2 linked regions of the Tribolium castaneum genome follow. The main gene of each other region encodes a partner of the protein of the gene in region 2 in a complex. Links are inferred from orthologs where the notes say so. Each region holds a gene or a part of one and is shown on either strand. Other genes may lie near its edges. The genes, in order: UbcE2M and Uba3.

Region 1 (3,255 bases), on a different chromosome or scaffold from region 2:
GTAAGTAACGTGTTTAATTGTTCAATTTTTTAGATTTATAAAATAAAATTTCAAGGATTGGAACGTTGTCAGCCTGAATGGTATAATGCCCTCACGGCCAATTTAACCGAACAACAAAAGAAGAATTTGGTAGATATTTGTGTGTTAGCGGATCAGAGGAAAGCAGCCAAAGAAAGTAAAAGAATTGAACAATCGGGAGGTAAAATTATATGATAGTGTTGGGGGAATAACAAATTAATTTTGTTTGTCCAGGTTTTATGTTTACACAACATGAAGTACCCACAACTTTTAAGTTTGGCGCTCCAAAACCGTCATGAATATATGTGACGTGGTGTGTAAAATTTTTGTGACTGAATGTAAAATTGACTGTTAAGACCAGTGAAATGATGTACAGTTGGTAATTTAATCTTTTTTAATTTTTATTAAGTGCCTTTTTATTAAACAAAAAAAAAACGGATGTAAACGATTTAAATTTACCTAATATAGATTTAAATGGAAGTTTATTTTCCGTGTAATTGTAATTATTTTTCGACTGTGTCTCTTTTGTCTCATTTGTTTTCTTCTTTAGGGAAAGACAATGTAGTAAATTACATTATTTCTATAATATACTGAAAGGTGTTAAGTTATTGCATTTTAATAAAGAATTGCTTCGAATTTTTGTAGATTTTTATTATGAAAAATTATCTATTTTCTTAATTAAATCAGTTACATTTCACTGAGGAGAAATTACAACACACCGCTTTGTGGTGCTTTACGCTGGAGTGAGATATGATGATCACAATAGAACGATTGAGATGAAAAAGCCAAATAAAACAACATAGTGGTAGCTTTAATAAACGAAATTAGTAATTAGGTATGCAAGAATCACTCGAGTGTCCTCGTCAACGAGCATAAAACAGTAAACTTATAAATAAGTTCTTTACACATAAGAATCACTTGAGACAGCGGTCGAAATAAGTACTGCCAACATACCCTCCACGCATCGCCTTCTGGACGTTCTGCTCAAACAGCCGCCTGTTGGTCGTGAGCACTTCAGCCGCTTCCTTGTTCAAAGGATCCTCTGGATTGGGTTCAAGGAACAAATACTGCAGTCCATAGACGATACTGTTGATAGTCAGTACGGGCTTCCAATCCTCCCTTAAAATGTTCAAGCACACGTTGCCCTGTTGGTCGATGTTGGGGTGGTAGACCTGTGTCTCGCATTTGACTTTGGGGGGCTCATGCGGGTAATTGGGGCCCACTTTGAAACTGAATACGAACCTCCCTGTCTTGTAGAAACCCTAAACGTCCCCCCAATTAACCACAACCCCACACACTAATCCACAACTAACCTCATCCGGACAAATCACCAGTTTGAAAGACAGCAAGTCGTCCGGATCGGGAAACTCCGTCGTGCAGGTCTTGGGCAGGTTCAGCTCGTTGATATCTGCAAAGGGAGGGTCAAAATGGGGGCGCAATGACTCACAACCAACCTTTCGTAATCCTCAACTGGGCTGCAGAGGCTTTCTTTTGATTTCCTGGTCGCGGTGAGGCTTCTCCATCTTTTTTCTGTTGCTTCAGCGAGAATAGTTTTATCATATTTGGCTGGCGCAGGGGTGGTGAGGGGTCAGAGCAATGTAATTTACTGCGAGCACACTTTACAAAAACATGGGAAAGTCGAGTTTATTCGATTGCTTTTTGCAAGAGAATTTTTCACACATCTGTCAATGTCAAAACTGTCAATGGGACATGCAGGAATTTACTTTACCATCGGAACGAATTCTTAATGAAAAAATTTAAAAAATTCATTTATTGCTAATGCTAAGAATTTTTCTGCAAAGCACTTAATCAAAAGATCCAAATCAATAAAGCAGACCATCAGAAGACTATGTTCAAAGCTATTTAAATTAATTTATTTCGTGCCGTTGTTATTACATTGGTACTACTGGTGCGTTTGTCATCCTCTGCGGATTTTTCGCGTCTTGAGTTGTTGAAATTCGTAAAATTATTCTGTGAAACGAATTATTTCGGTTTAGGAGCGTTTTAGAACTGTTCGTTATTGTGTTTTTAGTTTGTGTATTAGTTTGTTGACCACCAGACCACAGATGAACATTGAAACGAATGTTTGCAGTTACTCAAAGGTAAGTGTACACATTTCTAATTTATTTGTTAATATAAATCCAACCCTAATATTTTAAAGCATCGTTATTGAAATTTTATACGGTACTACATTTTGACGCGCAGAGCAACTTTTGCAAAGTTTGGGCCACGGGTTTGAGCCGTCGCGTCGTCTTCGTTAATTGTCATTCAACTATCAACGCAGACGACGCGACGGTTTGAGCAATTTTAATTTTTTTACGAAATTATTAATTAAAAAATATTTTAGCATTTTGCCTAAAATATTGTAATATTTAAATTAAAATTGAGTTTTCATGAATATGGGGTTTGTTGTCTAAAGTGATAGATAGCAGAGGAGATAACCATCTGACTCATCTGAGTGTAAAAAACAAATTTAGTGCTTTTCTGAATTGATAATTTTCCAAGTTTCTTAAAAAAAATTGGAAATGCAGTCATTTCACACAAAGTCTCATCACTCATCACGTCATCAGTTATCACATTTTATGAGCTTTGAAAAGTACGACACTCTAGAGACTATTTTGAACCCAAATAAATATGGTCTGTAATGTAACCATTTTACAGACGACTTCAGAGAAATGGCTTTTCTAGTTATCAATCAATAATTCATTAATTTAAAAAGCTTGTATTTTTCGTTTATTAATATTGTTTGTTTGATCCTATATCTAATTTTAGGAAAAAAATTGTGTTAAATAAAAATTATTGTGCAATTATTCTTGCATATTATCTGCAAATAATATTATATCACATCAGTTCCTTTTAAAAAGCACCAGTCATTACATTTAATTTTTGATGATCCATCACAACAATTATTACGAATTAAATGAGACTTAGTCAAAGTAGATATTTTTCTCCATGCTGTTATGAGGTGTAAAAAAATATTTGGGAGCATATTGTAAATGTAAATCACGATGAGTTTGCATAAAAGAATAACAGTTTTTTTCCTAGATTATTTAACCTTCAAATAAATTAAAAACTTACTACTCACTTACATCTCCTATAGCACATTCAAATTTTTGTATTTAACCATTTTTTTCTCCAGGAATTACTTAAATATTTATATACAGAGTATTCCAAGTTTTTGCACCGCAAAAAAATTATTAACTTTTCTCAGTATTTACAAGTATTCAATGTATTGCT
Region 2 (4,584 bases):
TTTCTCCGGCCATTTTATACTTGGTAACGACCAAGTCTTCCGAAATTGTTTTCTCCACATTTTTCTCGTCCGCCATTTCTCGCACTACGAGAACTAGAGAGGAAACGTCATGTGGTTGCACACCTGACGCGCCAGTTTTGAATTTATACTTCCACAAAACGTTTATTGTAACTTTGACGGGGGTTAAATGACCGGGGAATCACTTATGACTACGGTGTGATGCACGATTTTGGACCAAACCGCGGAAAATTATAAAAGTGGCCACCGATCAGGGGAATTTTTTTTTGGGGTGGCCAACTTGTGTGGAGAAACTCCCGGCAAAAACTAAATTTTAATATTTATTTATTCATTCTGATGGTTTTTATCTTCGCCGAGTCATATTTTCTGAGAAAAACGCCCTACGGCCGATTACGGCGAAGCTATAATAAGGCCTAAGTCAAAATTCCGACCAAATTTTAAGCAATAATACCAAAAAAAAGATATAAAGATATAAAGTGTTTTTTTCAATATCAAAATTGATAGAGTGGTTAGAACTTAAAAAAATCAAACAATAAACATTTCAAGGGCCAAAATAACCGTTAAAATGAAACAAAACCCAGTTTGTAATTTTCTTTATTAAAAATAAATAACACAATTACTTCATCTCAACATCGCTCGTTGCAAACTTAAGTGTGAAAACCAACGTCATGGGAGACGTAGCATCTGCGACCATGATATCCATGCCATCCTTAAGCCCCAACTCAACTAAAGTCTTATTTAAATTATCCCTGGTCCTCTCCTCTATACTCTTAATCGTGGAAATGTACAAAGTCTTATTTTTCCCATCAATAACCGTGGTTAAACCTGGATTTTTCATTTGAAACATCTCATCCTCACACAGGATTTTAATCAAATCCTTCAGCTTGACTTTACTCGGATCCTCAATCGGTAGAGTTTGCGGCACTTGGGAGCAAACCACACAATTGTCCCTCCGTTCCGCTGCGTAAGTGTAAGTGTAAATCCCGTCCACGTCATTGAAAACCATGTAATTATTCAACGGTAGACAACAACTCGTTGCGATTTTAAACACTTCTGTGGCGCAAACTCCGGCAATAACGGCGTTAGTTGACGCCACTGCTGGAATAATGTGCTTTACGACGCCTTGAACAAGGCGGTAAGTCACTCCAGGGATATTGAACTGGGACGCCCTTTCCAGGGACTTTTCGTAAACCCAGCCAATGTGCTGGGAGTCGTCTCCGTCCAGGGGCGCATTAAAGGGGTTCTCCTTGGGCCACAAAACCACCTTTACGTATTCAATGCAGTGTTCAGGCAGGCGGGGTGTGTTGGCGATTGTGCACAAAGGGTAGGTGATCTGAGGGGGGTACAAGTCAAGGGTGCACTCAACACAGGCGTTGTTGCCAGGGACTATGACGCGGGCGTTGCCCTTAAAACCCTCAGTACCTGGAAATAAATTATTACTCAATTATATATATTTTTTTAAATTTTGGCGCCACAGCACAGTTCAGATGGCGCTGTAAACAAGAAGAATTATTCGGAAATAAAATTAACTAGACGCCCTCTGGTGATGACTTTTGAACTATGTCGAAGACAGTAAAGAAATTTTCGTAATGCCACATTTAACTGACATTTAATGAATTGTTCAACAATTTTGCGTGTATAGTGTTAATTACTTACAATAGAAAGAATTACTTTAAAAGTACGTGGTGGTAAATACTAGCGTTGACTTTGGTTCTGTAGTTTTTCATGGTATAAAGTGTTTATTGTTGGAACTTGAAAGTGGATAAAAAGTGAAAAATATTTAAATTTTGATTACAAAGTGTTATCAAACAGTTGTCTAATTAAAGATTATAAGTAATAAATCACAGCGAACACAAAGTTTGGCTCAAGAAACCAATAAATTAGTGAAGTGTTATGAATTTTAGATTAGAATTTTCCACTGAAAAAATCATGAAATGCTGCAGTAAATGTACAAAACTACAATAAAGATTAACAACTGCTGATACATTTAAACGTAAATTATGCCAAAAGGTAGGTTTTTCAATGTCTTTGTAATAATTTTCCAATAAAGAAAGTGAACCAAACAGTCATTCGTTATTCGTGTTTTCCTCGTCATCTCTCATTTGTCAACATAAGTTTCTTGCATCAAAGATGCAATAATCATTCCGCATAGGCAATGGAATAATTGTGAAGCCCCAAAATTCGTACAACGCTCAAAATATCCGAATAAACATTTTCCCGCCATTTATGGTTACTGTTTTCGACCTAGCTCAGTGGCGCCCCCAACGGTAATTTTATTTCCGAATAGTTTGTTAGATAAAGATAAATGTCAATAAAAATATCAAAATGGAAAAAAAACTAAAATAACACAATTTTTTGTGAGAGAAATAACTTTAGCGTCTGAAACAAGAAGGCGCTGATATTTTGAAACAGCGCCATCTGCGAAAAAAGGCGCGTTTTTTGTCTCAGCCCCCACGTTTCGGCACAAACCTCCATCCACCAATGGAATAATGGTCGAATTATCCAGCACCCCATCCTCGTAGCTCAAGAGCGACAAAATCATGCCATTAATCCACCTCCTGGCCACGATCGAGTCCAACCCGCACACCATAATGTGAAAACTCCGATAAAAACTCTCATCGTAGTCTTGTATTTTGCAAAAATGGGGCGTCACCTGGCACCCAGGCACGCGCTTGTTGATGAAAGCCGCCGCCACTTTGGCCTTGGACTGCCCAATGTCCTTCTGTCTGAACAGAAACTGGCGGTTCAAATTCGACAAGTCGATCGTGTCCATGTCGATGACGTGGATCTGCTTGAACCCCATCAAAGCCAAGTCCTTCAACAGTTCGCAGCCCAGGCCCCCGGCCCCCACGACAAGCACCTTGCAGGAGGTTACGATAAAATCCATGATTTCGGGTGACGGCTCGAACTCCGGGTGGCAAAAGGGGCCCGGACGCTCCAGCACCTTGCGCAGGTGCCCCCAGCGCTTCTGTTCTTGCGTTTCGCTCATTTTTAACCGTTTTTAAAATTGGAACTGTCAGAAAGGAAGTGACTAACGCGCCAACTCGTTTAGTTATTTCACGCAAAAAGCCAGGCACAAAGGCAGGAATTTTAATTACGTACTAATTATGCACTGCAATTGGTGCTAATTATAATTATTATTCTCCTCAATGCCATAAAATAGTCGGAAATAAGTTAAAGATCGTAGCGTTAGCCACTTCGTGACGTAACAACGCGTTGATCGCTGTCAAACAAATGTCAAAAAAGTTACGTTGTGATTTATTGTTTTATTGAATTTTTTATTTAAAATCAGTACAAAATTGTTGGGTTTTTTATGTAATTCATTTATTATGACTGGAGAAACGGAAAGCAATGTTGGGAATTCTCTGTTGCCAGCAACCGGAGATAAAATAATTAATTTTGTGGATAACCGCTCTTGCAGCAAACCCTCAAAAAGGGTAAGATTTTTTTTAATTACTACTATTAGCCCGGTTTTGGGACGTTATCAGGTGTTACATGTGTGGTAGGTAATTAAATTGATTATTTAATGTAAATATTTAATCACAAATGGAAAACTGTCGTTATGTTATACAGAGTGGTCAAGAGTCACTGTTTGAGTTGGCAGGCCTGTGGTCACACTGGCTTGTTTGACGTTTGCAATGTCAACGTTTCAAATATCCACCTTTTGGTCGAAAACGGTGTTTTTAAATTAAACCACGTTTTTTTCTGAAAAAATCTTTTTACTCTTTTTTTATTCTTTTAATTTTTGAAAATTTTTTTTTGTTCAATTGTCAATATATTTTTTATTTTATTAAATTTATCGATTTGTATAAAAAACTGACTCGAGACCAATAAATTTGTAGATAGCAATGGTGTTACGGTAAAGCACGTTCAAAGTAGATTTCTATCTTCAAAATTACCCAACCTCTAATTTGACATGAATGATGTTTTTTATAATTAATGTAGTTATTTGCTCGTATTTTAGATGATTTCACACTTTTTTATCATTGTTTACAATTTTTAATAATTATTTTGGACTATGGAGAACTATATACTAGGAGGCGAAACAATGGAAAATAACTCGATTTTTTGTTCTAAAAATTTTGACCTCACGTTGTATTAAATGAATTAAAGTTAACTATAAATCACTAATTGCTTGAAAAATAAGCATTAAGTTTTTAATAATGGAACTAAAATTTTAACGAAAAATATATTTTTGAAAAAAAAATTGTCAATATATTTTTTATTTTATTAAATTTATTGATTTGTATAAAAAACTGACTCGAGACCAATAAATTTGTAGATAGTAATGGTGTTACGGTAAAGCACGTTCAAAGTAGATTTCTATCTTCAAAATTACCCAACTTCTGATTTGAAATGAATGAAGTTTTTTTTTATTAATGTAGTTATTTGCTCGTATTTTAGATGATTTCACACTTTTTTATCATTGTTTACAATTTTTAATAATTATTTTGGACTATGGAGAACTATATACTAGGAGGCGAAACAATGGAAAATAACTCGATTTTTTGTTCTAAAAATTTTGACCTCACCTTGTATTAAATGAATTAAAGTTAACTATAAATC

The links.
Region 1: the proteins of Uba3 (region 2) and UbcE2M are in contact, whole or in part, in a crystal structure (PDB 2NVU), measured with the Homo sapiens proteins. The link is inferred for Tribolium castaneum from reciprocal best matches to the Homo sapiens genes UBA3 and UBE2M. Residues at the interface, in NP_003959.3 of Homo sapiens: His53, Pro54, Asp55, Glu61, Ser62, Phe65, Cys70, Gln149, Asn152, Asp153, Thr154, Arg157, Gln158, Phe159, His160, Ile170, Arg173, Trp174, Ser181, Leu182, Leu183, Asn184, Pro192, Ile195, Val196, Pro197, Leu214, Met217, Arg254, Met255; in NP_003960.1 of Homo sapiens: Lys3, Leu4, Phe5, Ser6, Leu7, Lys8, Gln9, Gln10, Lys11, Lys12, Glu15, Lys21, Gly22, Ser23, Ser24, Lys25, Lys26, Ala27, Gln31, Leu32, Gln35, Lys36, Ile38, Asn39, Glu40, Phe51, Ser52, Asp53, Pro54, Asp55.

The regions. Positions count from the first base shown.
Region 1 is NC_087394.1:37,270,730-37,273,984, forward strand, and holds UbcE2M (NEDD8-conjugating enzyme Ubc12), read right to left. Parts: upstream 1,751-3,255; 5' UTR 1,579-1,750; coding exon 1,473-1,578; intron 1,427-1,472; coding exon 1,332-1,426; intron 1,281-1,331; coding exon 933-1,280; 3' UTR 653-932; downstream 1-652. Other genes in the region: msk (importin-7), read left to right, coding at 56-199, 253-317.
Region 2 is NC_087400.1:1,388,923-1,393,506, reverse strand, and holds Uba3 (nedd8-activating enzyme E1 catalytic subunit), read right to left. Parts: upstream 3,127-4,584; 5' UTR 3,008-3,126; coding exon 2,488-3,007; intron 1,441-2,487; coding exon 635-1,440; 3' UTR 597-634; downstream 1-596. Other genes in the region: proliferation-associated protein 2G4, read right to left, coding at 1-76; coronin-2B, read left to right, coding at 3,348-3,455. UniProt on the Homo sapiens protein: Catalytic subunit of the dimeric UBA3-NAE1 E1 enzyme. E1 activates NEDD8 by first adenylating its C-terminal glycine residue with ATP, thereafter linking this residue to the side chain of the catalytic cysteine, yielding a NEDD8-UBA3 thioester and free AMP.